4 linked regions of the Notamacropus eugenii genome follow. The protein of the gene in region 1 interacts with the protein of each later gene in a pairwise test. Links are inferred from orthologs where the notes say so. Each region holds a gene or a part of one and is shown in the gene's direction. Other genes may lie near its edges.

The links.
Region 2: the proteins of CEP63 (region 1) and TXLNB interact in binary tests that used the Homo sapiens proteins (3 or more experiments, as listed by UniProt). The two-hybrid records come from large-scale screens. The link is inferred for Notamacropus eugenii from reciprocal best matches to the Homo sapiens genes CEP63 and TXLNB.
Region 3: the proteins of CEP63 (region 1) and PPP4R1 interact in a two-hybrid assay, tested with the Homo sapiens proteins (2 studies listed by BioGRID and IntAct). The link is inferred for Notamacropus eugenii from reciprocal best matches to the Homo sapiens genes CEP63 and PPP4R1.
Region 4: the proteins of CEP63 (region 1) and NDEL1 interact in a two-hybrid assay, tested with the Homo sapiens proteins (2 studies listed by BioGRID and IntAct). The link is inferred for Notamacropus eugenii from reciprocal best matches to the Homo sapiens genes CEP63 and NDEL1.

The regions. Positions count from the first base shown.
Region 1 is NC_092876.1:333,964,305-333,972,102, reverse strand, and holds the start of CEP63 (centrosomal protein of 63 kDa), read left to right. Parts: upstream 1-4,693; 5' UTR 4,694-4,773; coding exon 4,774-4,778; exon of another isoform or gene 4,779-4,903; intron 4,904-7,798. Other genes in the region: ANAPC13 (anaphase-promoting complex subunit 13), read right to left, coding at 3,336-3,434. UniProt on the Homo sapiens protein: Required for normal spindle assembly.
Region 2 is NC_092873.1:225,871,713-225,879,430, reverse strand, and holds the start of TXLNB (beta-taxilin), read left to right. Parts: upstream 1-4,651; 5' UTR 4,652-4,741; intron 4,742-7,718. UniProt on the Homo sapiens protein: Promotes motor nerve regeneration. May be involved in intracellular vesicle traffic.
Region 3 is NC_092875.1:233,538,209-233,545,863, forward strand, and holds the start of PPP4R1 (serine/threonine-protein phosphatase 4 regulatory subunit 1), read left to right. Parts: upstream 1-4,569; 5' UTR 4,570-4,755; intron 4,756-4,769; exon of another isoform or gene 4,770-5,184; 5' UTR 5,185-5,285; coding exon 5,286-5,292; intron 5,293-5,601; coding exon 5,602-5,646; intron 5,647-7,655. UniProt on the Homo sapiens protein: Regulatory subunit of serine/threonine-protein phosphatase 4. May play a role in regulation of cell division in renal glomeruli. The PPP4C-PPP4R1 PP4 complex may play a role in dephosphorylation and regulation of HDAC3.
Region 4 is NC_092873.1:77,336,451-77,343,567, reverse strand, and holds the start of NDEL1 (nuclear distribution protein nudE-like 1), read left to right. Parts: upstream 1-3,958; 5' UTR 3,959-4,072; intron 4,073-7,117. UniProt on the Homo sapiens protein: Required for organization of the cellular microtubule array and microtubule anchoring at the centrosome. May regulate microtubule organization at least in part by targeting the microtubule severing protein KATNA1 to the centrosome.

The DNA.
Region 1 (7,798 bases):
TCAACAAGCATTTATTAAGTGTCTACTACATGCTGGGCCCTGAGGACACAAAGAAAAAGTGAAAAACTTCCTGCCCTTAAGCAGCTTGTATCCTACAAGAAACATCTACTAAATGTTGGAGAAGATGGAACACTAATTCATTTTTGGTGAGGTTGCAAGCTAATCCAACCATTCTGGAGAGCAATTTGGAACCATGCTCAAAGGGCTACAAAAGTGTGCATACCCTTTGACCCAGCAATACTGCTTCTAGGACTGTATCCCAAAGAGATCATAGAAATGGGAAAGGGTCCCACATGTACAAAAATATTTATAGCAGCTCTCTTTGTGGTGGCTAAGAACTGGAAATTGAGGGAATGCCCATCAATGGGGGAAAGGCTGAACAAACTGTGATATGTGAATATAATGGAATACTACTGTGCTTTAAGAAATGATGAACAGGAAGACTTTAGAGAAGCCTGGAAGGACTTATATGAACTGATGTTGAGTGAAAGGAGCAGAACCAGATCATTGCACACAGTAACTGCTACAGTGTGCGAGGACTTTTTCTGGCAGACTTAGCCCTTCACAGCAATGCAATGACCTAAAATATTCCCAATGGACTCGAGGTAAAATGCCAACCATATCCAGAGAAAAAACTATGGAATTGGAACACAGAATGAAGCAGCATATTTTCTCCCATGTTATATTTTTTTTGTTTGGGTTTTTTTCATGGTTTCTCTCATTCATTTTAACTCTTAAATGCAACATGACTAATGTGATTAATAAGAATGTATGTGAAGAACCCATATAAGATTGCATGCCATCTTGGGGAGAGAGGGAGAGAAAAATCTAAGACTTATGGAAATGACTGTAAAAAACTGAAAACAAATGAATTAATAACAATAATAAAAAGAAACAACATCTACAAGGACATATCAGGTATGCAAAAGAAAGTGAAGACAAGGCCTCCTGGGAGTACGAGAGTCATTACTGATCATTTTACTTCTTTTGCTGCTTTAAGAGAGGTCCTTTTCTTTTTCTTGGTATCGCATATATTTGTCAAGGGTAAAATGCTGTAGAAGGAAAGAAGAATCAGCAATTTTCTAAGTCAGTGTTAATTTTATAGTTTTATAGGATAATTATGCGTTAAAGATTTTTTGGTCCAGTTAATGCCAGTGAAAAATACTCATTTTATGTGAAAGTCAAATGTACTTGAAGAAATTTTAAACACTACTAACTATTCACTATTAAAACCCTCTTCTGATGCTGGGTTGTAAGAGGTTATGTTATCTTCTAAAGGGTCATTCCCAGACTACTTCTTAAAGAGGCCTATTCACTCAATGGGCAGTACCTTCTTCTAAGTGAATACCTGAAAAGTCTGAGTTTCCCCACTGCATCCTGGGCCTTCTCTAGTCATCCTGATGAATATCTGGTCACTGGATCCAGATGGCCCAGGAGGGGAAGTGAGACTGGTGACCTTGCACAGCCCTCCCTCACTCAAAACAAAGTCCAGTGCAAGTCATGTCATCATTTCTCTGGTATCATGGTCTTCTTCGAAAATGAAGGATGAACACAACAACCAAGCAGGGAAGGCTCTGGGTACAGAGATGATAATACACTGTGTATTTTGTTAAGTGAGACCATTAAAGTTCAGAGGTGTTAATCACATGAAAGTTGGATATCAAATGAGGAACATTTTTTCAGACCCAGTGACTTACAAAGACAGTTATAGTATAGAAAAGCTGTGACTTACTTTGGTGAAAGGGGTGGAAGAATTCACACCTATAATGTGATGGATTCTGGATGTACTAATAAAGGTAGACAAACTTAGCTCAAATAAAAAATTAACACCAACAAAAGAAGTGTAAAGCAAATATATCAATAAATCATGGGTAGAAAATATCTGATTCACTGGCTCCAATCTGCTCTTGGGTTGACTTGAATTGGCCTAAGAAAAGTATTCTCAAATTCTGGGTACATATGTGAAAGTTTCTGAGATAGATACAGGTCTTTATCCTACACAATGGATATCCTTGCTTTATTTCAAGGGTTAAGCAAAAATGTTATTTCAAAGTGGGGTTTTTGAATGTTTTCTTTTAGGTCCTCAGTCCATTTTACCTTTTCTTTTTTGATCCTTAACTTAAGGTATATCTCTTTGTTATTTGTAGTTATTGAATAGTTTTATATTTTCCGTTCTTGATTTTTAAAAGTAGGTAACATGAACGTTGCATAGTTCCTTCAAAAATAGCTAAAGTTGTTTTTACCTGCATATGACCTGTGACTATTTCCCCTTACCATCCCCCCACCTCTTAACAGAAAAAATATTCTTCCACCTCTTTTCAATTATTTTCTTCTCTTTCAGTAGGTCCTTATGATATACATAGGATCTATCATAAGCCTTCATTAAAGTGAAAAATAATATAATTACAGTCTCTTAAAAAGTTGGAAGCAATTTTAGAAATTACTCAGTTTGGACCTGAAGTATGAATTACCCCAACATCTTTACCATCCTATAAAGAGTGCTATGGTAATTTGTTAAATTTTAACTCAGTAAAAAACAAACACAGGACTAAACTTAAAAGTCCAGGGACATCTACAAACGTGGAAGTTTAAGTCTTTTTTTCAGAAACTTGGTAGGTGTAGAGAAGAGAATAGAAATCTCTCAGAAAATCTTGGAAAGGTCTAGCATCAAAGTATGGAGGTTTACAAAGAGAATAACTGAATGACAGATGAAAGTAAAAGAAAGAAGAGAATATTATTTAGTTGTTCTAAGGTATGTTCTTAGCTCTTTTTAATTTTTTCCATTGATTTCAGTGGTTCTGACTCTTAATTATTCTTGACTTATCTCTATATAGTACATTGATAGAAGCACTAGACTGACATTCAGGAGATCTGTCACTAACTAGTTTTATGTTCTTAAGCAAATTACTTAACCTCTCTATGCCTTGGCTGATTTGCTTTGAAAGGATTGGAAGAAATAATTTTACATCCATCCCCTCCTCTCTATTTTTCATTGCTTCAGGTGGAGGGCCACAAAACTAGGAGGCCTAGATCAGCAGTGTGAAATTCAAACAGAAACAGACCTATTAAACTCTTAAGGATCCCTGTGGCTGTATATTGATTAGAAAACCACACATTAACATTATCTTTGTTCTACTGTATTTTTATTTAAGAACATTTCTTAATTAAATTTTAATTCAGGCCCACTAGGGAAGTATATTTGATAACTCTGGTCCAGATAAACTGCTCCCACTGTGAGTCATGTGCCCTTCCTCCTTTCTGCTTTTGCTGGGTTTGCTAATTAATTGTTACTTACAATGGTATACCCATTCCCTTATTCATAGCATGTTACCTACCAGTGGTATTGCAACGTCTTCATAGGGCAGCTTATCTTCTCTCCAAGCATCATCAATCAGATCCAGAATTCTTCCATCCCTCTGTACCTCACTGTCCATTCTTTTGTGATTTTGATTTTCTTAGACCTATGGCCTACAAGTTACAGTTCAGAAATTTGGTGATGAGTGAATTAAACACACACACACACAACTAGTTAATTTTCTGAATTAGTCCAAATGTACTTTAATTGTTTTGTGTCTGTGGACGTGGCCTGAGCTCAAAATAAACATAAATGGATGACAGCTGGCTGACAAGTTTTTGATTCTTTTTTAAAAAGAATTTTACTTCAATAAAGTAAAAGGATCCATTTTCAGTATTTATACCCAGATCAATGAAACCATGGATGTTTCAACTTTTTCTTAGCATTTATCTAAATTCTTGTATCCCACATTCTTTTCATTTTCTTCAAAGTGCTTGCTGCCCTCTTTTGTCATCTACTATTCCTCTTATCAGAATACATGTTATAAGTCATCACTGATTAATTTGTTCTTTTTAATTGTCACATACAGTGTAAGCTCCTTAAGTATAGATAAGGATCACTGATTTTCATCTTTGTATTCCTGACTGTGTGGCTGAGAACTTCCAGCAGAAAGCAGTGAAAAAATGTTTGAATTGTAATCTTATATGGCTATTGAATTCCTATCCTGAAACCTCAATTAGACCAGAAGCTCATTTAGAGCTGAGGCTGTGACTTAAAACAGTTTTATCACCCCTGAGGAAGCAGCACACAATAGGCAGATTTTGGCAGATTTTTACAAACTTTCAGAAATTTACAAACTCTGCTAACTTTTAGATTAGCAGAGGGCATGGCACATACTGCTTAATAAAAGCCCTGGGACTATGAATAGTTGTAAGTACTATACAAAATCAAGTAACAGAAGAGAGAGACACACACAGACACACAGACACACAGACACAGACATACAGACACACACACACAGACGTTCGTCTTACTGCAGTTTGGGACGAGCGAGGCCAGAAGAGAAAGGAGAGGGAGGGAACGACACTGCCCTCCAGTATCCTCCTTAGGGGACAGAAGGGTGGAAGAAAAGAGCCGAGACTCTCCTGGGGTGAGCACAAGGGGACAGGGGAGGTACAGCTGCAGAGCAGCAGCATACAATGTAACCAAACCAGCAGACCTGGAAAGAATGTGAAAGGGATGCGCATGCGCATGCTCCGAGTCTCGCGCTCGTTTCTCCGGCGATCATCGCGCAGGCGTGTTGGGGGAACCTCCGCTCCAGCGCTCTTCCGCCTTCAACCGCCGCGCCAATCTGCTCCTCCGCCAGCCAATTCGCCGGAGTCACGTGATTCGTAAAACCCTTCCCCTCCCACCGTTTAGGCCCAGCGAATGACAGTACTAGGCTGAGTCAACTCGATTACCTTAGGAAAGTGGGGAGGATGAGGTTGGTTCAATTCATTAAGGGGGGAAAAATTTTTTTTTAAAGTGGGGAGGGGGCGGAGGGAGGACGAGTGGGCGAGCGAGGAGGCGGTGCAGAAACGTCGGCGGCGGCGCGCGCGGCCGGGAAAGGTAACGGCGGGAGAACGAGAAAGGGGCGGGGGCGGACGCTGCCGCTGCTGCGGACGCCTGGCGGGGCTGGGTGCACGGCCTGCGTGGCCGCGGGGCTGAGGCCGCTGAACGGCGTCGACGCGCTGCTCCTTAGTCCGCAGGCGCGGGGTAGCGACTGCGCGCTTCTTCCCGGCGTGCTTTTCGCCTGGCTGCGCGCTGAGTGCGGCCCATGGCTCCGCAGGGCGCGTCGGCCAAGCCCGCCGTCAGGTGCCCGCTCGCCTTCCTCGGGTCCGAGGGCGAGTGCTGGCGGCTGGGGTTCGTTCGTTAGCCCGCCTCGGGCCATGCTTGAAGTGGGTTCCTCCACCTCCCCTCTAGAGGAGGCGGCGGTGATGGGGGCCACGTGTCCCCGGCGGGCGATTCAAAAGCAGTCCGAGTGCGCCTTGTGCTAGAGCGACTTAGGCCGAGATTATCCTCCTCCCCCTCCCTCTCCTCCCCCGCTGGCCCCCGAGAGGCCAATGGACCTAGGTCCGGGGTTCAGTTCAGTTCAGACGTTAAAGCACTTACTAAGTGAGGGCACCGTGCCAGGCGCTGGAGGTATTAAAAAAACCCATCAGCTGGGCAAGCCTCAGATTTCCCTAGCCCGCCGTTCTACAGGGTCATCAATTTGCTTCCACTTGGACCTGTCGCTGTGGGCAAGCCACTTCCCCGTGCAAAATGGAGGCATTCATCTCGGAGGATACCTAGATACTTTGTATCCCTTTGCTTGGCCTTGTCTCCCCTATTAGTTGTAAGATACGTGAAGACTGGCCCTGCCTAGCCTTTTTCTTGTATCCCCATTGCTTAGCCCAGTGACTTGGCACACAGTAGGTGCTTAATAAATGTTTGTTGAATTGACAAGTCATCTGATTTAATTGGTCTTCAGTTTCCTCATGTGTAAAATGAAGGGGGTGAGGGATGGGGATGCATTAGACCAGCTAGCCTCAGAAGTTCTTTCTCTCTCTATGAAATGATCCCATGACTCTAGAACCTCTAAGGTCCTTTCCAGCATGATTTGAGAAGTTTAGGGAAGGTACCCCCTCTGATTAATAAGGATGTATGTGGTGTCTAGGGAGGATGAATACTCCTGGTGTGAGGGCTGTCATCCAACTGTCACCTGTGGCTCCAAGAAGTTGTAGCATGTGCTGTGGTCACAACCCACTAAGCCAAGTTTAGAGTAACCCACTGCCCTGGAGCCCTTCATTAAGTTGCGGGGAGGGATGTCTACCTCACGCATGGATAGACTTCCCCAAGCAGATCAGAACATTTTGTTCCAAGAGCCATGCAAGGGCTGTGGAGTGCTTAGTGGTTGGTCAGACATCAAAGAAGCCAAGGTCATCCACTGCAGCCTTCCATCAATCTACTGATTTTTGTTTCTCCACTGAACTTCAATCGTTCTGGAAGAGAGAGTGAGGCTGACTAGCCCTCTTTGAAAAGGAAGGAGGAACAAAAACAGCATTTTGCAGTTGTGGTGCCTGAAGGGTCTATTAACCCTTTCTGTTCAGAATCCTGGGAGACCTCAGTTAAAGTGAGGATTTCTTCCTAAAGAGGATAGTACATCAAGCTACTTGACCTCTCTATAAATACTTTATTATGAGATTGTTGATCAGATCCTTTCCAAGATCCTTTTACCATGGGTATTTATCTAGACCAGGAGTGGTTTGAGGCCAGAGGTTTCCCACCTTCTGTCTAGACTAACCTCAGCCCTCCCTCACTCAAAACAAAGTCAAGTAAAAGTCATCATCATTTCTCTGATGGCATGGTCTTCTTCGGCAATAAAGGACAAACACACATCTCTTTTACAGAGGAACCTGAACCCTATGGCCCATTTCCCAGAATTTCTTTAGAAAAACCTAGTCATTTTTATAGCAACTTTTGTTTATTGCTTTTTAAAAAGATGACACCTCATCCCATGTTTTTCCTAGTTCTAGTGATGTTGTGAACATTTTCAGTTATATAAGGAATAGAGGTCCTTAACATGAAGGATTTCATGGTTAGATTTGGGAGAGTCCAGGAACTTGAATGGGAAATTTTTAAAAAAATTTTTACTAAGCAACCTATAATTGAAATTTAGGTTTTCTGTCAATTACACATGTAGGTAATAAACCACAGCATCATTAATAGTACTTGTGACTTTATCACTGGTAGAAATCACAAATATTTTTATGCCATGTTATAGTCATTGCAGATACTTTGGAATGTTATGTATGCCCACCACTACTTTGAAATTACTGTGGATTTCAAGGGCTTGTAGTCTTTCCTGTCTGTGGGCACTGGTGAGACATAGCTGGTGAACCATTGGAGTCTATAGTTTTCACCAGATTGCCAAAGGAATCTATGACACAAAAAAGTTTATTAACTCCTGCAGTAATTTTCAGTTGCCTGAAATAACTTTGAAGTTTAACCCCTTCCTCCTTCTCCCTTTCCCCCATTGACAATGGGAAAATTTAGTGAAAGTATTTTTTTTCTTTATTAAAAGTGGTCTGTTAGAGTAGAAATACCTGTATCTGTATAAGACCTTGCACACACTCATTTTAAATGTTAAATTACAGTACCAAATAATCAAAATTTATCCAAATTAGTGATGATGCTAAGTGCTCTACAGAATTTGGGTTTGTCTGAATGTTTGAGAAGGTACAATGGCATAGGTATTAAGTTGATACCAAATTGTTACATCTGCATGTATGAAAATTATAAGTAAATTAAGGCATTATGCTTTGTTAACTTGGATTATAGTGACCTCATCAGGTCAGTATTGTGCCTGAATTCAAAAGAATTGCTTTTTCATTAATCATTTCTTTTGTTTCTTTAACCTCCTTACATTTTGGTCATTTTACTGTTTGCCATAGAGGCAGTGTGGATAAAGTGTTATACTTGGAG
Region 2 (7,718 bases), on another chromosome or scaffold:
CTTCCAATTGTTAAATAGTCCTTTGAAATATTACCTCAAAGATCTGTGTAGCCCTTAAAACTCTAGGAGTCCTTACTTGAATTCCCATTTTCACTGATGAATCAGATCTCTAGAGCAAGCCTCATGACTATATTCCCCCACTCTGGGTTCCAGAGATACCCTTGAGGGATTGGAAAATTCTGTCTTTAACAGTATCAGCCTGAGACCCAGTTCTGCTGTGTGCTTCAAGTATCAATCACCAATGATTGGCACCTTATATGCATTTAGCCAACTAATGTCAATTAGTTTTTTCAAAGAGATATGAGAAGACATATGAATAGAGATATAAACCATTCCCCCAAAACTAAGCATACACTCTCCCCGTGCCACCCTAGTCTAGTCCATGGAGATAGTGGTCTCAGACTTAAGGTTTGCCATAAGGAATTCATTCCCCAACCTCATCCCCTAGTTTACTTCAAAATTCAGAATAGTTACTGAATGAATCCTTGTCTCACCTACTGCTAAACTTGATGCTGCTAGATTGAGTCCTCAAGGTTGTTCCTTGGGAACCTTGCTTTTGGTCTAGCACAGACTCAAGCTCTCAGACTTCTGAGGACACATCATTCTGACCTTTTGAAGTTCACAGTGTCAGAGCTGTTTCCATTACTCCTTCACCTACAGTAGTAGAGATCAGTTACAGAAGTCAACCAAACTACAACAACAACAAAAAAGCAAGAGCAAAGTATATTACTGTGGCCCAGTGGGGAAATAAAGGCCTGAGACCTCTCTGTCTCCACCGATAACTTTCAACTGTTTTTGACTCCTCACTGATTCACAGCCAGGCAGGAATGAGGATGAAACCTCACTGTGGTCATCTAATAGAGCCTGTTGAATACTCACTTCCAATTCACAGTCAATCAGAAAGGCTCCTCTTTGCCACAGGGTAAGCAGGCCTGAACCAGTTGCAGAATGTCTGGGCATGCTCCAAATCATTGAGCAAAGCCTTTTTATTACAAGTTGTCATACCTTTCCATAAGCAGACTTGCAGCTTCTCTATGGGAGGATTTTCACCAGTCACCCTTTTCAGTCAGAAAATTAGCTTTCTATCTCTGAAGGAAATTTGTTCCTTAGAGAGCTTCTCAGATAATCCTAAAGGGATTGAGGTCAAGTGATAGTCAACGTCTCAACTTCAGGTGAGAAACCAAATTATTTTGGCTTGTTGCCTACAAACTAGCTAAGGGAGAGGTTGTGGCACTTGGCTCTTTCCCTATTAAACTAAACTTCCCTCCCCCTATTCTGTAGGTCTACACTCATAATGTAGTCTAATTCTTTTGGGCCCCTGCAACAATGCAAGGTACTCCCATTTTTCTCCAGGGATCCCTGAAATTCAAAGAACATTCTACTAGAAATCCAGAAAAAGAAAATCTCCAGGTGTCCCTTCCCACATATGGCACACCAAGGTCTTCTGAGTTACATTCCTCACTATGACAGTCAAGTCAACTTCAAAAGAAAACAAACACAGAAAAGCCCCCCAAGAGGTGTGGTGCTCCCCCCAAAAATGATTAAGTATTTAGGGTTGATTACTCAGAGTTTCTAGGCCATCAAGCAAACTTTATTTGGAAGTAAACTTTATCTGTTTAAAAGCATCAGAAAAATAAGAACATTTATCAGTTGGGCTGATACACTTGCAAGATTATAACATCACAAAGGCGATCACATTTTAACAATCTCCTACCCTTATCTGGATTGCTAATTAATTTAACAATAGCAATAACAAAGATTGGGAAAGTAATTTCAGACTTTCAGAAATATGTTCTATGGAAATCCATGAACTGCATCTATACTAGTATACTTCACTTTTCCTTAAACTCAGTAAAGATGGCCAGTTGTCACCAAAGGAGAAAGAGAAAAGAGAAAGGGAAAGCCTTAGGAAGAGTAGTTAGTGTGAAATAGTGGAAAAATGATTGAATTTGGAGTCAGACTACATGGGTTCAAATCCCCTCTCATTTACTACCTGAGTGACTTTGGGCAAGTCCCCCCATCCTCTGGAAAGTGGTAGGTTGGTTGGATGGTATCAAAAGTCATTTTTTTTACCAGAGTCCTATGATCTTATTTTAGGCTCTTTCTACTGTAACAGTGTGTTCACATATTTTCCATGAGAAACTTATATGTGCAATATCCAGTGTTAAATGTGATGAAAACTAAATGAGGGTATCCATTCAGCAATCATGTATTAAGCACCTACTATGTGCTAGATACTGTACTAGTTGTTGAGGATAAAAAGACAAAAAATATCTCTTTAAGGAACTTGAGTTCCACTAGGGGAAAGCAGTGTGAATGCCAATAAGTATATAGAAAAAATACAGATTAAATGCAAAATAATGCTGGTGAGGGGAGAACACTAATAACTAGGGAGATTAAGAAAGCCCTACTATACTAGGTAGTATTCAATCTCTGCTTTGAAGGAAGCTAGGGATTCTGGAGGCAACTAGATAGTGCAGAGGATGGAGTGCTGGTCTTTGAGTCAGAAAGACCTGAGTTCAAATACACACTCAGACATTAAGCAGTTGGGTGAGCCTGGGTCCTGTTTATCTCAGTTTCCTCACCTGTAAAAATGAGCTGAAGAAGGAAGTGGCAAACCACTCCAGCATCATGGTCAAGAAAACCCCAAATGGGGTCATAGAGAGTCATAAATGACTGAAGTGACTGAACACCAGCTAAGGGATTCTACGAAATAAAGGTGAGAAGGGAACCCATTTCGGGCATGGGGAGAGTTTTGCAAAGACACAGAAATGGGAGATAAGACTGTCATGTATGGCATTGGTTTGGTTGGATGTACAGTACATGAGGAGAAGTGATAAGAAACAGTCACAAAAGACAGGTTGAAATCAGACTGAGAAAGAACTTTAACTGCCAAAGAAAGGGATTTGTATTTTATCCTAGAGACATACGGAGTCACCAAAGTTCCTTGAGCAAGGAAATGACATGGTTGGATGTACATGTTAGGAATATCAATTATGCAATGGTGTGGAGAATGGCTTAGAGAGATATGCAATCCAAGACTAGCTACTAGCAATTATTGAACATTTTAACGTTAGAGATCATTTAAGTAAATGCATGCACATTTTTGCAGATGATATAATTCGGAGAAATAACAATTACTCAGGATTGTATAGCACTTCAAGATTGTATAGCATTTTCCTCATAACAACTCAGTTAGGTTAAGTATTATTGACCTCATTTTACATTGGAGGAAACTGAGACTCCTAAAAGCTGTCTAAAGTCAGAACAAGTTCTAGGTTAGAGCTGGAGCATAAATCCAGGTCTTCCAATTCCAAAAAAATCTAGCAGTTTTTTTCCCATACATTGTTCCTTTCCACAGGCTATATTAATTATTCAGTATGTAAGCAATCCCTAAAAGTCTCACAATAGAAAATCTATTCCAAGTCTAATAAAAATGTTTCCATGCTTAGGACACTACATTCCTATGTCATTCAGCACTGTACTGTAACAATGATCCATTAGAAATTGGCATCTTTTTTTATATGCTATTGCAGAATTGTGAAGGAAAGCTGCAAAGATGGAATTCTGTGACTCCTTACCATACTGTCATAATATTAGCAATACCTTCAATCAGCACTACTATAGGAATTTTCTCTCAGGGCATATAGAGTACCAATAATAAGGAAAAGAGGTTACCAGGGGTGGAGAACCTGTGACCTCAGGGCCACATGAGGCCTTCTAAATCCTTAAGTGGGGCCCTTTGACTGAATACAAACTTCACAGAACAAATTCCCTTAATAAATAAATTTGTTCTGTAAAACTTGAATTCAGTCAAAAGGCTGCACTGGAGGACCTAGAAGGCTACCTGTGGCCTCAAGGCCATAGGTTCCCTACCCCCAGGTTAGCCCATCATGAAGGGCACATAATAGATAAAATTACAAACCAGGACAAGAAACTTTGGTATTTCATGGTGGGTTTTTTTTTGTTTGTTTGCTTTGTTTTGGTTGTTTCAAGACGTACAAGTAAATATCATCCCATCATAAAGAAAGTGTTTCATTTCTTACATTGTTAAAGTCATATATCTCTCCCTCTCCTCCTCACCCATTTTCTCCATAAGCAATCTGATACCACATACCCAGGAACAAAACACTAATTAATTAAACTAGCATGAGAGGGACAAGGAAGAGAAATTACAAACCATACCGGAGAAATGCTGAATGCCAGAATGAGAAACCCTCCAAGGTGAAAAAATTAACTGACCCAAAATAAAGGTACTCTAGCTGTCAGTATTTCTAGCCTTCAATGCAGTGGGGGAAAGGGCCTCTCCAGTTGTCTCCATTTTTCTTAGAAAAAAATAACAAAGTGGAAGAAACTGTTAAGTGCTAGAAGTTGCCAATTATCTCTGAACACCCCCCACCCCAGGTATCACATTTAAATTTTGCATATTACTTATCCCTCGCTATATATATCATCCAAGCTTCAGTGCCTTGGTCCACCCCCACCCCCCTTTCTCATCTCTCACTCTGTGTGTATGTGTGTTTCCACCTCTCTCTCTCTCTCTCTCTCTCTCTCTCTCTCTCTCTCTCTCTCTCTCTCTCTCTCTCTCACTCTCTCTCAGGAACAGGGGTGAGTGTCTGGCTCTGGTTCCTGCTGTGCCCTGCTGCTGGTTCGCTTGGGGTTTTTAAATTTTGTTTTGTTTTTTAACTACCTCCTTCCTCTGGCTCTCTCTTCCTCTCTTTGCTTTGTTCCTCGCCTACTGGTAAGTTCAACAAACACTTTTTGAAGTAACCTTAAAAGTTGTGAGGTTGGGGTTGTGGGTGGAGGGGAGGTGTGCATCGCCCAAACAGCTCAACTTGGAGATTGACAGTGAACTGCTGAAGCCTTTCCATGGTTTTATTTGTGCATAATAATAATGCTCCTCAGTAAGGTATGGGGGTCCTTTAATCTTCTGCCAAAATTGGTAGTAAAAAATTTTCAGTCTTAAGAATGAAAAAAAGTCAAGATAATAAAGTTTATACAAGAGAAAGTTTTGTAATACTCCCTATTTTGACCACCAGCAATTAATTAGAAGATCAGTATTTGCTCAGAAAAGGACAATTAAAAAGAAACACAGAAATTTTCCTAAACTAGCCTTCTTTCTGATATCGTCAGGCTACTTTTTAGGAAATGAGGATCCCTGAGTGCTCAGTGACTCGTTATTCCTATTTAAAAGCAAATATAATGTGAAAATCCAGAGGGCTTACAATAGATTTACTATATGGAATTAGAGTAATCTTTACACCTGAAAAATACAAGGCAAATTCATATACAAGTTCCACTGGCCGAAACCCAGATCCTGTGTTCACAGGCTACTATTTATATTTATTATTTACAGAATCTGAGTAAATTTGGGTCTGATTTCAACCAAAGAGGACCTCTTTAAGTATACAGATATGTATATGAGTATGTTACCTAATCATTTTTAATGTATTTATTTCAACTTGTTAATTCTTCCCATTGGGGATTTAATTTTTTAAAATAATGTTCTCCTTCTAAGGTTTTCAAAGATGAAGTGTTAACTAAATACCAAACCTCCTTTTAGAAGAGCTTAAAATAACTTCTGGCTGGACAGAGGGTGCCATGTGTCTTTCTGCTGGGGAGAGGCAGAAGCTATATATAGACAGATGTGTGTACCCTACAGGGATCAAATTAAAATGCCTGTGATTAAGAAAAAGAAGAAGTGCTTTATAAAATTGATTGAGAGAAGCCTGGCTAGACAAAAATGCTGTAAAAAAAGGAGAATTTACTTTTTTGTCAGTATTGAGCTGATGCTGGCAGGTTGCATTGTTAAACTGCCTTGGAGGGAAGAAAAGAGAGGGACCTGTCTAAACTGAAGAACTTTTCTGTTTCTTGTTAAGATCTTGGCATTGAATACACTGGTGAGAGAAAGGGTAACAGATCCTGCATCTATTTCATACAGCACCTATACTTACATTATTCCACTCAACATAATATCATTACAAAACACTAAGAGACTAAAATGGGGTCTCTTTTTTTAAGAGAGTAACCAATTTTATTGTTAAAAATAAATGGATCAGTAGGTATTAATAGAACTGATGTCAACAGGAGCCTAAATGCTGGCTTAGGTTAAAGTTACTACAATTTAATGAAGTATATGTAGCAGGTGCCAACGCAAGTTAATCTGCAGTACTTGATAGGACACAGGACAAGACAATCATAGACTCCAAGTTTTACCAGGACTGATCTTTGCCCAATGATTAATAATAAGAGCCAATATTTATATAAAACTTTATGAATTATAAGGTTCTTTTACATCATTTGATCCCCATAGCAACTTTATAAGATCAGTACTTATTAATAATTATCATTATTATTATAAAAATTATTCTATGTTATTATTAATCCCTTTTTGCAGGTTCAGAAATGAGACTAGAGAAGTTAAATGACTTTCCTATGGTCACACAGTAGATATCAAAGGCAGAAAGCCAAGACTTAGGTCTTCTGTCAGGAATAGAACTTGAGTCACTTCTGACTGCACATTCAGAGTTTTTTTTCCTTTAAACCACTGTGCTCTCAGGTTTCTAGCTTTTGGATAGAATGTAAAACAACAAATATCTTTGCTTCCAAAATCTACTTAAATTGAGAATTCCAACTTGTTTCCAAACGAGCATTGTGGGTAATTCTCCCTGTTATTTATAGTAAAGTAAGTTCTTTAAAACAATATTTAACGCACCTATTAGTGTCATAGAATCAATGATCTTACCTGTTATTCACTCAGATGCAACCACAGTAACATCAGTGTGGATGTTCTTTCCAATGATGCAATTGACAAATCATCTATGCCTGCCCATCTTATGCTTGACCATGTTCTCCCTGCAGCTTGCTATTGAGGGAGTGCTGCCATTGTGCTAAAAAAACAAAACAAACAACTTTACTTTCTCCTCATGTCATAAAAATACCAGTGAAGCACATGAGGTGACAGCTATCTCTCAATCTTTCCACATGACTAGCACATCTCTTCTTTCTATCATGTATTTTTGTCATCTTTTACTCGTTTTTCTTTGTAGCTCTTTATGTCCTGAGTGTTACAACCTGACACACACATATATGCATTCATATATATACATACACATACATATAAACCCATGTGTCTCTCCATTGTTTTTTGAATGATATTAATTTTTAATTGTTCATAGATTATAGCATTCTATGCCTTGCCACCATGTGACCAGGACAGAATATTGATATTGAAAAAACAGTACTAATTTTCTAGAAAAAGTTTTAGCGTACTTAATGGAGAATCACAATTTCATATATATATATATTTACACACATGAAGACAGATAGAGACACTAGTGGATGAGGTCTATAATTTATCCATCTGTGTCATGCTCAAAAATGCAAATGGATGAGTGGTCCCATCCATTTGAAAGTTCCCTCCAGTAATGCATATCTTGATTCAACCATGCCTTCCCAACCCATGTGTAAGGCTTACCTATATTCTCCCAAAAGTTCACCACAGGGGATCCATCCAATGTTCTGCAGGCTTTTCTCACTTCCAGCATTTTAAGGTATCCATGGAATGCTTTGGCTGTCCACTTGTCGTATCTCAGTCTTGACAAGTGAGCAACCCATCTTCTTTTCCTATCGTACAATTCCTTTATACCTTCCTTCACTCCTGTTCTGTTTCAGTTTCCTATTGGTTATATGCTGTAGCCTCTTCATAGTCACCATGT
Region 3 (7,655 bases), on another chromosome or scaffold:
CTCAGCTCTGCTCTACCCATTCAGCAAACTCCTCCCACCACAGGTTCTATGTGACTCAAACTCATGTGATTTAGGCTTCCATGTGACTTAAGCAGGTCAGATGGGCCTATTAATGAATGGGAAAGACCTTCCCATTTCAATTACCATTACATACTGCCACTACCCTAGCTCAAGTTTCCACTGATGCTAATCAATCAAATCTCTCCTAACTAATTCAACCTTCATTCAGCTTGCCAAAACAAAGGCCTACCTCTCTAAATAGGCAGGCCTAGACACCAGGGCCATAAATGAATTTCTGGTTAGTTTGGGGTATAACTTTTACACCTTAGGAAGCTGACATAATTGTGATTATGAGCTAACCCATTAAGGAGCTAAGCAAGAAGTTCATAATACCACAAATCTTGGTTCTAATTTAATTACTGAGCTTTTTGCTTTTGAATACGTTGAAAACCTATTCATAGGTTTTCCTGGCTTAGGTAAAACTTTGTTTAACCTAATTATTCCAAAAATTGTGAAAGAGTTTGGGACTTTTCTCTGTTCCTTCCTAGCTGTAATGGAATGAAAAAGATGGGTGAAAGTCAGGAAAACTGTGCTTTTAAAATCCTAGTTCTGCCATTGTTTACTTGTATGATAGTATTTACATCTGTAAAAATGAGGAAAGTCGACTAAATGATATCTATAGTTCCTCCCTCCTAAGGGCAGCTATGTGGCACAGTGGATAGAGTGCTGGACATGGAGAGGGAAAGACCCAAGTTTGAAGCTGGCCTCAAATACTTAATATCTGTGTCACCTTGGGCAAGTCACTTAACCCTGTTGGCCTTAGTTTCCTCATCTGTAAAATGAGCTGGAGAAGGAAATGGCAAACCATTTTATTATCTCTGCCAAGAAAATCCCAAAAGGAATCACAGAGTCAAATATGACCGAAATAACTAAACAACAAATAGTTCCTCCTAGTTCTAATATGCTATAATATCTAAAAACTAAAACTTTCGTTGGTTTGCCTAAGCACAAAGAAAACAACATCATTTTATTTTTTTATCCATGGCATGCTACTTAAGTAATTTCCAGTTTTCATAGCTTTCTGTTTTGCTCATTAAGACCAAAGTTTTCTTCCTATTCCTGGGGCAAGTTTAATAGATTCTCCCAGTTTTAGATGGAAGAACTGCAAAATGGGAGCAATGTGCCATATCTTGTGGAATTCCAGTCCAGAGAAGGATATAAAGAATTGAAAAAAAAGGATTCATTTTCTCACAAGATTAACAGCAGTTGTACTAATAGTGTACACTGTTATAGTTATGGCCAGATCAAGCATGTGTTAAAAGGTTTATTTTTTTTGCCATATCTGAATTTATATAGTCAGATTTCAGAGTCAGTTCCAATGTAGTTTAGGCCTCAGCTTTCCAATGACACTGATACACAAGGGAGAGAGAACAGTTTGAAGGGAAGAAAATCTCAAAGGATCTCAGACCTGGAATTTTTTTTTTCAATCCTTTATTGTAGTGAGAAGGATCTATGAAATGTCTATTTTAGGAGATTTGAGAGAAGAGGAACCAATATCTCTTCATTACAAACTAAACCGAACCATTAAAATCCTGGCCAAGAATAATCTCTCTTTTTCTGGGAGGTCATCATGGTATGAAATTTTGAAAGGGACTTGAAACCACAAAGAAAGAGAAAAATCCCACATGTACATTTATTTACCTAAAAAGATTTTTTTTAGCACTAAAAAGTACTAACAAAAGGCTTTATTTAAATAAGGGACTATTAAAAGGAGAAATCTTTGCCCTGCAGTTGGAAAGGAGACTCACAATGATTGATGAAAAGATATAAATTAATGATAGTAAGTTGGTTGAAAGGAATACTTTTGGAGTTGGTCAAATTGATTTCTCTTATTCCTGAATAGATATTTATACAGATTAAATCATTATTTATAATTTAGAATAGCAACTGACAAGTCTGCCTTTTTATATACTTTCAGGAACGACCATTTCAGAGACCAAAAAAGGTTTACTTCCCGGCACAAGAGTTTATATAAATGGGTCAGCGTCAAGGTATGTCAGGTTTCTTTTTTCTCATTGATTCAGGATGATCTGCCCAATGACATTAAGTTCCTGTTGATGAGCTAAATGCATCAATTATAAAACTCTGAGGAGGTTAACATAATTGCTCTCTGTAAGATGAATAGTCTTTCTCCATAGAAATGTTAGCGTCACCAGTCATTTAGTCTTTAGCTAGAACTTTTACAAAAAAAAAAATTTTAACTTGTATCAACTATTTTACAGATGTCACAGCAGAATAAGAATTTAGACCCTGTGCTGTGCTCTGAACACTAGACAACACACAGCTTCTCTCACACCACACAGACTACATTGTAAGTGAAACTGAGGGAAGGGGCAAGAAAACAATGATTGCTATTCTTGTCTAAATACCTCTTTTTAAAAATCCCAACAAAGTAACCTCATTTGGAGTACTTCATAAGCCACCATGCATCCATCAATGGTTTAGAAAGGAGAGATGTGGTAGATGAGTTTATACTTCTGTTGCTCTTTAAATGAAGGATCCCCTCAACAAAATGGTCAAGAAAACTCTTGTTAGAGAATATGTACTAAGAAGATTACAGCTGAATTTACAGGCAGAAATTCTTTCATAAAATAAAAACAGAAAATATTTATTCTTAGGATTAAAAATTTGCTTAAAATTCTATACCTAAATTTTCTAAATAATTCCATCAAGTCATCCTCGTCCTTTTTCTTCTTATCTTCTCCCCCAGTGAAAAGCATAATTTAGCCAGGTGCATCAAATCAATTAATATAAGGCAAAAAATGACTTCCTTTGAGGTAACTAGTACTAGCCTCTGCCCTGAAAGACAGTTTGTCAAACTAGATGAATTGTTACTCTAACCTGATGGATTTCATAATTCTTGTTTCTGCGTGTCATTCTGAGAGACAGTGTTGTCAGAAGTAGACCTCAGAACATTTGGTAAGTGTGAAGAAATGGGCTGAGAAAATTTGGCCTTCTTAAAAAACATACTACTGTATATTTTAAAGAACTGAGCACACATTTCTTAACACCTAAAGTCATAACTTTTTTCCTATCATGGCTAATTCCAGGTCATTCTTTTCAGAAAAATATGCCTAACTATATACAGCCTATGTGAGGGTGTTACAAGTCCAAGGAAAGGAATTTTTCATGAGTATAGAATATAACTTATATACAAACAAAATTACAAATTTCTGAAGCCTGACTGCCCAAATGACTCCTAGACGGCAGGAATTAAACCTTGGTAAAACCTGTTAAAATACAATTTAAGAAATTCAGTTGATAAACAATTTAAGTTAATTCTTTTCCCCCAAAACCCAACTTCTAATAGTACAAGGTAGTACAAATTGGACATGCCAAGTTTACTGTTCTTTATTTTCAGCAAAATTGTCTTTTACAATTTGTAACATATGACAAAGAACATACTGTAGTACAATTACAAACAAAGGACCTAAATGGAGCTGGGGGAGGGGGCAAGAACAGAAAAATGTGAATATTCTTACTTCTACGCTGGTTGTCTCCCCTCACCCTGCATGTAAGCTCTGAAGGTGTGTGCCGTCTTTGTACCTGCAGCAGGTAGCACAGTCCCTGACTTCAGGATGCTTGTTAAACTGAACCGAAAGCGCTAGGGAGTGGGTCTGGAGTACTCCAGGGCAGGCACCCCACTTCTGAGGGTTAGCGGATCAGTCAGACCCAAAAAAAGGCTTAAAGTTAATTACTACAAAGAATAAGCTGAAGGTGAAAGCTTAAGGCTGCCCCAAGAACAATGCATTTGTGCATCTCTGTGCAGATCCGCCTGATACCTATAGTAGATCCTAAGAGGTAAGGAGAGGCACGCACCCTACACTAAGGAGCACCTCGTGTATAGACAGTCCACGCACGGCCCCGACTTCCAACACCCCGGATACTGGTACACAACACAAACTTATCACTTATATGAACGGACGGCGTTCCGAGCCGGTGCGGTCGGAAGCGATTAACGCCGCACTAAAACACGGGAGGCACCCTTCTACCCACGGCGTATTTACCCGTGCGTGCATCTATACAGTAAACCCCAAGCTCCCCGCGGGCAAGCCCCCGGCTTTTATCGGGGTGTGCTTCGGCAGGCCGCTCGGCCTTTAGGAGGCTGGATATTAATATTAATATTTGCTGGATGGATCACTCTAAACCTAGGTGATAACTGGGTCCGCCCCCGGCCCCCCCACCGGCCACCGCCCCCTTTGGGGTGCCCTGGCTCCCCCTCTGCCCCGGGGAGGCCCGGGGGCGCGATGCGGGGGCACGGCGCCGAGTTCAGCCGCAGCGCTGCCGGTCCTCCGCCGCTCTCCCTGGACACACGGACTTCCCGGTCGCTGTCCCGGCCCGTCAGAGCAGGGCCTGCCTGGGCCCGGTGACACGCAAGGTCGGAGAGAATACCCAAGAACAAGAGGGGCTACAGGGGGAGGAAGGCTGGGAGAGAGGCCCAGCTGGTGACCAAATAAAGGAGGGCGGGGGGGGGGGCGGGGGGGGGCTGGAGCAGCCGCGCCGGACGGAGAGCCACGCCTGAAGCCCCAGCCTGCAGCACACGCCGGGCACTAGTGCAGGCCGGCGGGCTGTATGCCTCTTTCCTGGAGCTAGCGCTAAGCCCCGGCGCGACTCCGGGCGTGCGTGTGTGCGAGCACGCGCGCGGGCGCGCGCCGGGGGAAGGGGGTGGGGGCACAGAGCGGGGTCGCGCGCTCAGTGAGTCCGTCCGGGAGGGCAGGGGAGGGAACAGGAAGGGGGGGCAGAAAAGGGAGACAGTCCTCTCTTCGTGCGCGCGCGCAGGAAGGAGAGGCGAGGACGGGGTGAACGCGCGGCAGCGTCCAGTGGCGCCCCTTCCTCTCGCGCGCGTCCTCGCAGTCTCCCAGCCTTTGGGGCGTTGTCACCAGAGTTCCCCCGTGACCGCAGCGGATACTCGAACCGAAGCCTAGGCTTCCGCCCCGCTGCTTCTCTCGCCCCACCCCCCTCCGCCCTCGCGCTATCCCGTCCCATCCCGTCGTCTCGTCCCGTCCCGTCCCGTCTCGTCCCATCCCGTCCCGTCCCGTCTGGAGCTCGCACGCGGGCTCGCGCGCGCGGGCCCCTAGCCACCCTTCCCCCTCCCCCAACCTCCTCCTCCTCCTCCTCCCCCAGCCTCTCCGCCCGTGCGCGCGCGTCCACCGGTTCCCTGCCTCGCGCCGCTTCAATGTAGTCCCGGATCCCCGGGAGACGGAGGAGGAGGGGGCGACCGCAAGATGGCGGGTACGTGGACCCCCCCCTGCTCTCCCTGGCCACGGTGGCTCCGCCGGCCTCTCGCCCTATTAGCCAGGCGGCCAGAAGGGTCCTGTCCCAATGGAGAGGGGACGGGGCGGGAGAAAAGGGGGCCGGGCTGAGGCGAGCCCTGGGGGGAAGGCGCGCGGGGCCGGGGGAGGTGGTGGTGGTGGTGGTAGTGGTAGTAGCAGTTGGGGGGGTTGGGTGGGACTGGGAGGGGAGGGGTCTGCCCCCTCCCCGCGGGGGGCGCTGACCTTGTCCCTTTCTTCTCTCCCGCCCCCTCCCCCACCTCCCTCACAGATCTTTCACTGCTTCAGGAGGACCTGCAGGAGGAAATTGAAGGATGTGAGTATCGCTCCGCTTCCCGGCCGGGCCGGAGCCTTCTGCCGCCGCCCCCCCGCCCTCGGCTCCCGCTGCGGGGCTCCCTCCGCGCCCCAGGCCTCGTACGGGGGGAGGGGGACGCCGCCTCGAGCCCGGCCTGGCCCAGGCCCGGAGTGGGCATCCAGAAACTTGGACTGGGCTCCGAGCTGGGCCGGGAAGGGAGCGTAGTTGACCTTGTGTATTGGAAGGGGGTGGCATAAGTGAGGAACATGGGAGGGGGGGTCGTGCCATCTCTGTCTAGTCTCTCCAGGGTCGTCTCCACTTCCGCCAGGAAGCCCGAGTGGTCTGCTTCTCTTCCCCCGCCCAAGAATTCTGTTGGCTCCTCCTGGGTGGGAATGAGGGAAAAGCTGGTTTGGCTGGAATGCTGCCAGTGTGTCTTCTTACGGGGGGTGGGTGGCGTTTTTGTTTTGGCTCTATTTGTTGCCTTAGCGCCCCCATCTCTGCTAGTAAACCACGCTGGAGATGTCCGTTGTTAACAGTTAATCGGTGTGGATGGGATTTCTTGTAGGAAAACTGAGCAGAAAGTTGTTGGCAGTTTTCGTGGTTCACTTTCCTTCTACCCACAGAGTAGAGATCAGATACCCCATATTGTTCATTGGAACAAGACTTTTGAGACTTATTTTTTCCGTTTTTGACCTTTGGAGAAATTATTGGGAGGTATTTGAAAGTTGACTAGGAAAAGTTGTGAGAGTGGGGGTGATGTGTTCAGAAAGTGTTTCTAGAATGCAAAGGAAAAAAATGCCCCAAGCCTTTGAACTCTGGAACCTTTTCTTTTTTTTTTAAGAAATAGAAGCCTTTGAGGTTTCAAGGGCAGGTACTCACTTTTGTCCATTTTAAATGACATAAAACTGGCAAACTTCTTTACTGTATAGCCATGTTAAAGGACCTTCAGCTTTGCTTTTGGGGGGCATTTTATTTGTATTTTGAGGTTCTTTATCTTTGTGTTAGGTGTTTAAGTAATTAAAGGGAATGGGATAATAAAATAGAATTGGTAGAGAGGTGACATTATTGAGTGGAAAGTTTACATTTGAGCAAACTATAGTTAGCTTTTAAACAGCTCCATTTATTTGAACCCTTGGAGGATAACTGGCTCATCCAAGAATTATTTGTTTTTTAAATACTATTTTTTCCCTAATTACATATCAAGACTTTTTAGTATTCATTTTTACAAGATTTAGAATTTCAAATTTTTCTCTCTTCCCTTTCCCCTTTTCCTAAAATGATAGGTGATTTCATAGAGGTTATACATGTGCTGTAGGGTAAAACATATTTCTTTATTAGTCATAGTTGTGAAAGAAGAAACAGATCAAAAGAAAAAATAGCAAAAAGAATAAAGTGAAAAAGTATATGGTTTGATCTGCATTCAGAATCCATTAGTTATTTATCTGGATGTGGATAGCATTTTAGTCTGTGAGTCCTTTGTACTTGTATTGGATCATTGTGTTGCTGAGAAGAGCTGAGTCATTCATAGCAAGGTGTTGCGGCTACCGTGTACAATGTTTTCCTGTTTCTGTTCATTTCACTTTGCCTCAGTTCCTACAAGTCTTTCCAGATTTTTCTGAAATCTGTCTAGTCGTTTTTTATTGCCCAGAAGTATTCCATGACATTCATATACCACAGCTTGTTCAGCTATTCCTCAATTGATTGATGGGCATGCCTTCAATTTCCAATATTTTGCCGCCACAAAAAAGAGCTGCTATAGAGATATTTTTGCACGTGTAGGTCCTTTCCCCTTTTTTATGGTCTCTTTGGGATACAGACCTAGGCTTGGTATTGCTGAATCCAAGGGTATGCTCAGTTTTATAGCCTTTTGGGCATTGTTCCAAATTGCTCTTCAAAATGGTTGGATCAGTTCACAACTCCACCAGTTGTGCATTAGTGTCCCAATTTTCTCACATCATTTATCATTTTCCTTTTTTGTCACATTACCCAATCTGATAGGTGTGAGGTAGTACCTCAGTTATTTTAATTTG
Region 4 (7,117 bases), on another chromosome or scaffold:
GTTTTCTTGGCAAAGATATTGGAGTGGTTTGTCATTCCCTCCTCCAATGGACTAAGGCAAACAGAAGCTAAGTAACTTGCCAAGGATCTAGTAAGTGTCTGAGGCCATATTTGAACTCAGTTCTTCTTGACTCAAGGCCTAGTGCTCTGAGCCACCTTGCTGCCTTTAATTATCTAGGAATCTCTACAAATGATTTAGAAAAAGAGAAGCGAAGTCCTCTTCAGAGCTATTCTGAAAATGAGGCCTATTTCAGAATGTCCAGAAGATATTTCCAGGGACCAGATGACCACATGGGAAAACTGAGACTTAAGACAATATGTGATGCTTAAGTGGACATTAACAGTGGATTACTAGAATAGAAGAAGACAATGTTATCTAATATTGATGATTATCACTGTATTATTTTGGCCTTTTGTTTCATGGTGTTTAGGTCTGCTGAAGTTATGTTGGTGATATAAATCTCCCTTCTCAAAATGAGTTCATTGTGAACCCTCTAGATAGTCTGATCTATAACCTGACTTATATAATTCCGATTATGAATATATGGAAAACCTTATAGATTTGACTTATAGATAAGTGATTTATAGGAGAGGGTGCCAGTCTCCTCTCCCAGGAATCAAAGGAGAAGAATCGTGGGAATTGAGTGAACCAAACTGATTCCATCTTGTGACTCAATTCTGGATCTAGTTCAGTTCCCTTTCTATTCAATTATGGATCTAGTCCAATTTCTGTCCTGCGAGAAAATGTTATTCAATTATAGGAATGGTGAGAAAACATTATTACATTTGCTTAAAACTAGCCTTGCATAGTTAGGAAGTTAGACTACCTCTACTTGTTGCTTAGAGAACTTTAACTAAGGACCTAGATTATGCTGACCAGAAACCCAGTCAGAACCAAGATCAAGGAGTTTTCTTACAATTCTACATCTCAAGGAACCCATATGTCTTAACTGAAAATTGGCCTATACTGGTTTTCTTGTTCCTTTGATTGAATATAGACATTTGAGGAGCAGGGGGAAAGTGAAACACTTCTTTTTTCCTTCTGACTTCAGGGAATTGCACCTGTTCACTCTACCTCTCCCAACTCAGAAAGTCCTTAACCTCTCTCCATTAGAAATCAGATTATCTAATTTGTATCTGGGTTTGTATCTTGTTAATTGTTTTCAATACATAAGGATGTCTCCTCCTGTATTAAGGGTCTAGTGCCAAGCTGAGGAGGCCTGGTTCCAATTTGTTATGCCATAGGCATATATTGCTTAATAAATTGATGCTTGAAACCTTGAACTTTTGTTTCCTCTGTGACTTCAGATTTCACCCATCACAATCTGGAGGTGGCCAAATTTTCATGACCTTGTGAATGATGGGTGCTCATCTTCAGTAGTTCATGTGTAACTTCCGCATGCCACTTCCAAGTGGATGGCTTCTGAATTTCTTTTTCTAGTATTTATCTTTCACTTACAATCCTGTAAACAATAGTTGTCTAATAGATGTTCTGCTCTCTCTACTATTCAATATTCTCTATTAACTGGCTTTGCCACTTATTAGCTGTGTGGCCTTGGTAAAGTCATGTCTCTCAAAGTCTCAGTTTTTTCTTCCATAGAATTACGGGGCTGGACTCTCAGACCTTAAGGTTCATTACAGCTGTAAATTCTATGACCTAAATTAAACTTGTCATCTTCCACCCAGACAAGTTATTCCACTCAGCTTCCTGATTTCTTGTCAACAAGTCACTGTTGTGTCACCCATATTTAAAACCTTGGAGTCATCATTGGACTCCTTCCTCTTCCTGTCATTCAAAAGTCCTCATAATCTTGCTGTACCCTTTTTAAATTTTACCTCTTATTATACCTCATTTTGAATTCTATCCAGTCAACCTGGTCCCATTGTCCATATCAAACTCATTCTTATCTACTGCTTCCCCTGCCACTACTTATACTATCCTTGGTGTGGTCCGGAGGAAAGAAGGTTAAAATTAGAGCAAAACCCAAGTTTCCTCATCTGTAAAATGTGGAGGTTGGATTAGAATCTTTTAGCTGAGGAATCTTTACCTGAGTCTCTTTTAGATGAGGAAATTGAGACCCAAATTGAGACCCAAAGAAGACCAGTGAAGGGATGTAATTTTTTCCCTTTTGCCCTAAAAACTTACTGTTTTTAAAAGAGAAAGACAGACCCCGAGAGGGGTAGAGGTGGTTGCTAGGAAAGCTCCTTACAAGAAGGGTTGGGGAAGCATAGACTTGAGCATTTAATTCAGATGGTCAGTGGATAACTGACAGCTCAGCTTGCTAGTTATCTGGTGGTAAAACGCACATTTCACTTCCTCTATGATTTTTTTTTTCCTAACCACCATGGCCTATATTGATGTCTTCTCTTCTTTTTTTTGCCTTGCATTATTTCCTTATTGCTATTTCATATTAACTATTATCTTTCCTACCAGGTGTATAAGTTCTTTCGGGTCAAGGACTTAGCCCGATGTTGTCTAACTTAGAGCCAGAAACAAAGTAGGCATTTAACAAATTCTGCTTTAATTCTTTTTATTTTCCTGTCCTACTGAAAAGTGACAGCAAATTCACTGATTCCATTTATTAAGCACCTACTATATTCAAAATTAATATTTTGCATAGTGAAATGACAAGATTTCCAACTATTCTGGGTAAGTTACGACCTATCTTAGGAAGGCAGGAGAAGCTAGATATTTTTGAGGAGACTGATGATGGATGTTACAAATCACAGTCAAGTCTACAAGGAAGGCAGTCCCCTGAAAAACTTCATGAATATCATAGATACCGGCCCTTATAAAGAAAACTGTTCCTAATTGTTTCTGATGTCCTTAATTTACCTGCCAGTCTAAAAGTATTTTACTTTGTGTTTGATGGAGGCCCCAGTCACCTTTGATCCCAAATCCCTTCTTCTCTCCCACTTTCTTCTCTTTTCGTTAAATGCCTCCTATCCAAACGGTAACCACACGCCGCCGCTGTCTTCCTTTGAAAGGTCCCTTGTATCCATTTCTCCCATTCTTCCGTTGCACGGATACATTTGTATCCTTCCTCTCCAGATTTTCTAAAATTAGCTTCAAGGGCAGCTTTGAAACTGACAAGAATTGTAAAAGAACCAGCATGAGGCGAGGGATGCACTGTCAGGCTTCTGTGATAAAGGCCGGGCTAGGGAACCCGCCGCCTCGAGGCCACACGTGGCCCTCTAGGGCCTCAAGCGCGTGCTCCCCGCCTTTGAGCTAGCTGGAAGGGACCATAGGGTCCATCGGGCCCGAGTGGTTCTCCTAGTGTGGTCCAGAGGGTTCCAGAGATCTTTTCAGGCTGTCCGCTAGGAGGAAGGTATTTTCATGATAATACAAAGACGTTTTAATTTCGAATACAGCAAATATTAATAAATAACTCACATAGACAAAAGCTCTTTTTGGGGGGATATCCTCAGTCACTTTTAAGAGCGTAAAGACGGTTTAAGGTTAAAAAAAATCTTTTTACATTATTTTACATTAGAGGAGACTGAGGCCCGGCTACACAGCAGGTGACCAGGAGGGAGGGTGGGACTCCGACCCGATCGAGCTCGGCCTCCGTGCCCACGCAGGGGAGGCCAACTCTTCCCCAGGAGGAGCCCCGGGACGACCGGCCGCGGACCGTGGTGGAGGAAGCGGGCGGGGCCCTGCGCTCAGCTCCGTGCGGCAGCCTCTGCGCTTGCGCAGGAACTCCGCCACGCTCTCCCACTCCTGCGTGGCTGGCCCGAGCTGTCCCGAATAGCCGCCCTCACCTTCTTCTTCCCCTCCCCTCCCCTCCCCTCCCCGTGACGCCATCCTTCTCCCTTCCCTTCGGGCCCGGGAGCCCGGACGCTCCGAACCCACACCCCTCTCCGCGCTGCGTCACAGAGCGGCTTGTGACGGCCCCGCCCGCCAGAAGTATCGCGCGCGGAGGTCGGTGCGCGTGACGCGGCACGGGGGAGGAGGCGAGAGCGAGAGCGAGCTCGCTGGAGAAGGCTAGAAAGGAGGCGGAATCGAGGCGCCGAGGACGGAGTCCGGTCCGGTCCAGTCTGGTCCGCGAAAATGTCCGTTTGACACCGTCCAGGTGAGACTGACGCGCCGAAAGGACCGGAAGGGCCCGGGCTGGGCGGCTGGTTCGGGCCTCTCCGCCGGCCCGCGGCCTCGGGACTTGGGGCGGGGCGGGGCCGGGCCCGGCTCCCCGGGGGCTGCCGGCCCAGCCAGCCTACCTGCAGGGGCCGCGCCCGGGCCAGCCCGGCGCTGTCAGTCCGTCGGCCCCGCGCTCCCGTGCGGGAGTGGCCGCGCCCACCAGGACCTCCGCACCCCTCTCGGGAGATGGAGGGCCCGGGGCAGGGGAGACGGCGGAGGCGCTGCGAGAGGGCCGCGCGCCGGGGACCATCCGGGACGTGGCACGGCGGGCACCGGGGACCATCCGGGACGTGGCACGGCGGGCACCGGGGACCATCCCGGACGTGGCACGGCGGGCACCGGGGCTGGCCCAGCCGTACCGACAGGGTGGGGGTGCGGAGGTCGCGACGTGCCCTCCCTTCCCTGGGGGCAGGCCTTGGGCTCCATTCAGTGTCCCCAGGTGTTTTCAGGTCGCTTCTCGAGTGTCGCGGAGGAACCGTTGGCATCGCAGCCTTGGTTTTTTTTCCTAGAGCTGGAAGGGACCTCGAGCTGTCTAGTCCAACCCCCCTCATCTTACAGATGAGAAAACCAAGGTTTAATGATTTGCCCTAGAACACACAGGTAGTATCCCAGGTAGGATTTGGCCCCAGCCCTTTGAATCCAGAGCCGGCGCTCTGCCCACTGTACTGAGCTGCAGGTGCCTTACTCTTTTTCCCAAGTATATAATTGAATGGTGATACTGTCTTACAGTTCGGCGATTCTTCCAAGCACTTGGACGTATTCTATTTATGCCTTTAAGTCCCAGCTAAAATCAGACCACAGACGGGAAGCCTTCCCTGTGTCCTTTGGTATTTATCCTGTAGATAGCTTGCTTTGTATATCTTGGTTTGCATTTTGTCTGCCCTTTAGACTGTAAGCGCCTTGAGGGCAGGGACTCTCTTTTCCCTCTTTTTGCGTCCTCGGGGGTTAGCACCCTGCCTGACACTTAATAAACGTTTATTGAATTGAATTTGAACCTGAAAGTGGAGCTGGGACCAAAAACTGTGTCCTCCCGATACCTTTCTCAGCTGATTGAAGTTCATCAATCAGTCAATCTCAGCTACTTCAGTTAGAGTGAATCTAATTAGCTTTCTTCCATTCTAATTTCTGACTTTAACTCTGGGGAAAAATTGAAGTCAAATTAGAGAACTTTGAAAAATAAATAAAACCTTAGAATATTTTTGTTTTAACAAGAAGGTTTAAAAGAGTATTTGATGGGCTTGTTGGCTGCTAGAGGATAGTTAGTGACAACTGTAAATAAGCTGCAGTAGCATAAAGCTTTTCTAAATACTGTACTTAGATACAAAAGTAAATTTAGACTAAGATGGAGTGATTTGATAAGCAGGCTGTTGCAAGAGATGTCTACTGAATTGAGTTCTTAGTAGCTATGTATGCCATGTACAGTATAATAGTGCTTGACATAAGACTTGTCCTGCTGGGTCAGATTTGGGATAGGACATCCAGTCCAGTATTCTGTCTCTGATCATGGTGTTCAGGGATCCAGCCTTGAGTTTTAGGCTTAACTAATCCAGACTTTTTATTGAACTTTGGAGCCTTCACTTTTCACCACATTCTGAACCCCCCCACTAAAGGCATTGTGCCTTTTTTATGTACTTTCCTGGGTCACTGAACCAAAGGTTGGCCATTTGGGTCTGTAGCTCTGCTGCAACTGCTCCTAATTTGTCATTATTAAGGTGTTGCTACAAAGAAGCAGGTGTCCTGTTTTACATCAGCTTCTTTTTCTCTTTTTATCCTGTTTCCACATGCTTCAGATCATGAAAGCTTTTTTTTTTTTAAAGAATTCGTTTACCAGGGAAAAGAGAACATAGAAATTCATAAATAATTCAGGACAAGGTAATTAGAAATAAGCTAATTTCAGACTTAGTACCACCTAAACTTTTTAACCTATGACTTAAATAAACTTCTCCTGGCCAGGTGGGTGCTGACCCTCTTCTAGCTTGGTAAACTCATGCTGCCATGGCTGACTCTGTCATGACTGCATCAAAGAATATTGTCTTGGCTACTAGAATGCTACCAGTCTGATTTTGAGATTCCTCACTTGGGTGTGCTGGGTCAAACTCTTTTGCCTATTATATAAGTTGGATCTCTCTCAGCCAATCAGGAAGTGACTGGATGCAATGACTTTTGGTCCTTCCTCCCACATTCCTATATAATCACTTTCTATCTCCTCCCCCACCAAATAAATACAAACAGGTAAATGCTACAGTCTCTCCATACTTCAAAAATCAGAATGATGCAACCCAACAAATAAATTACTCCAAAATTTACAAAAGACAACTCCTTAAACTGTGGTACCATAGAATAGGCCAAGCTTTCTCATTTCACAGATGAAGAAAAGAGCCCAGGGAAGTTATGTGAATTATCCTACTAGGTCATGCACCTAATAAATGTTTGAAATGGGATTTGAACTCAGATCTTCCTGATTCTGCCTGTCCAGCATTCTATCCACTGTACCTTGGTGACTTAAAAAATGGTCTCTATTCTGTGTATCTTTTATTAATTAAGTTATATTCCTTGCTTTTTCCTTGTCTTCATGCTTTTTTTCTTTTTATCTCTTTAAAAAAAACCCATCAACGAAGCTTTGATTTCTTTGGCAAAATAGGGTTACTTTCAATAAGTTGTTTGCCAGAGTGTTTTGATCTTATGTTTTCTTGGAGATCTCTGTTATGTTTCATTTTGCTTGGCATGAGTCTGTTGTTCCCGTAGGGTGCTTAAGAATCCCTTTTTATGGATTGAAGCATGACTTTCTCCACTTTTGCATTGCTAACTTCTTGGAGGTTGTAAGCAAACTTTTTATGTCCTGAGGAGCCTTAGTCTTGCCTGCCTGCTTTTCTGTACAGCCAGTACCCACTTCTAAAAACTTGAATTCCCTTCCTTAAACTGGTGGTGTCATTTCAGTAATGTTTCTAGTAATGGGCTACATTTATTAAGGAAGAAGTCACTT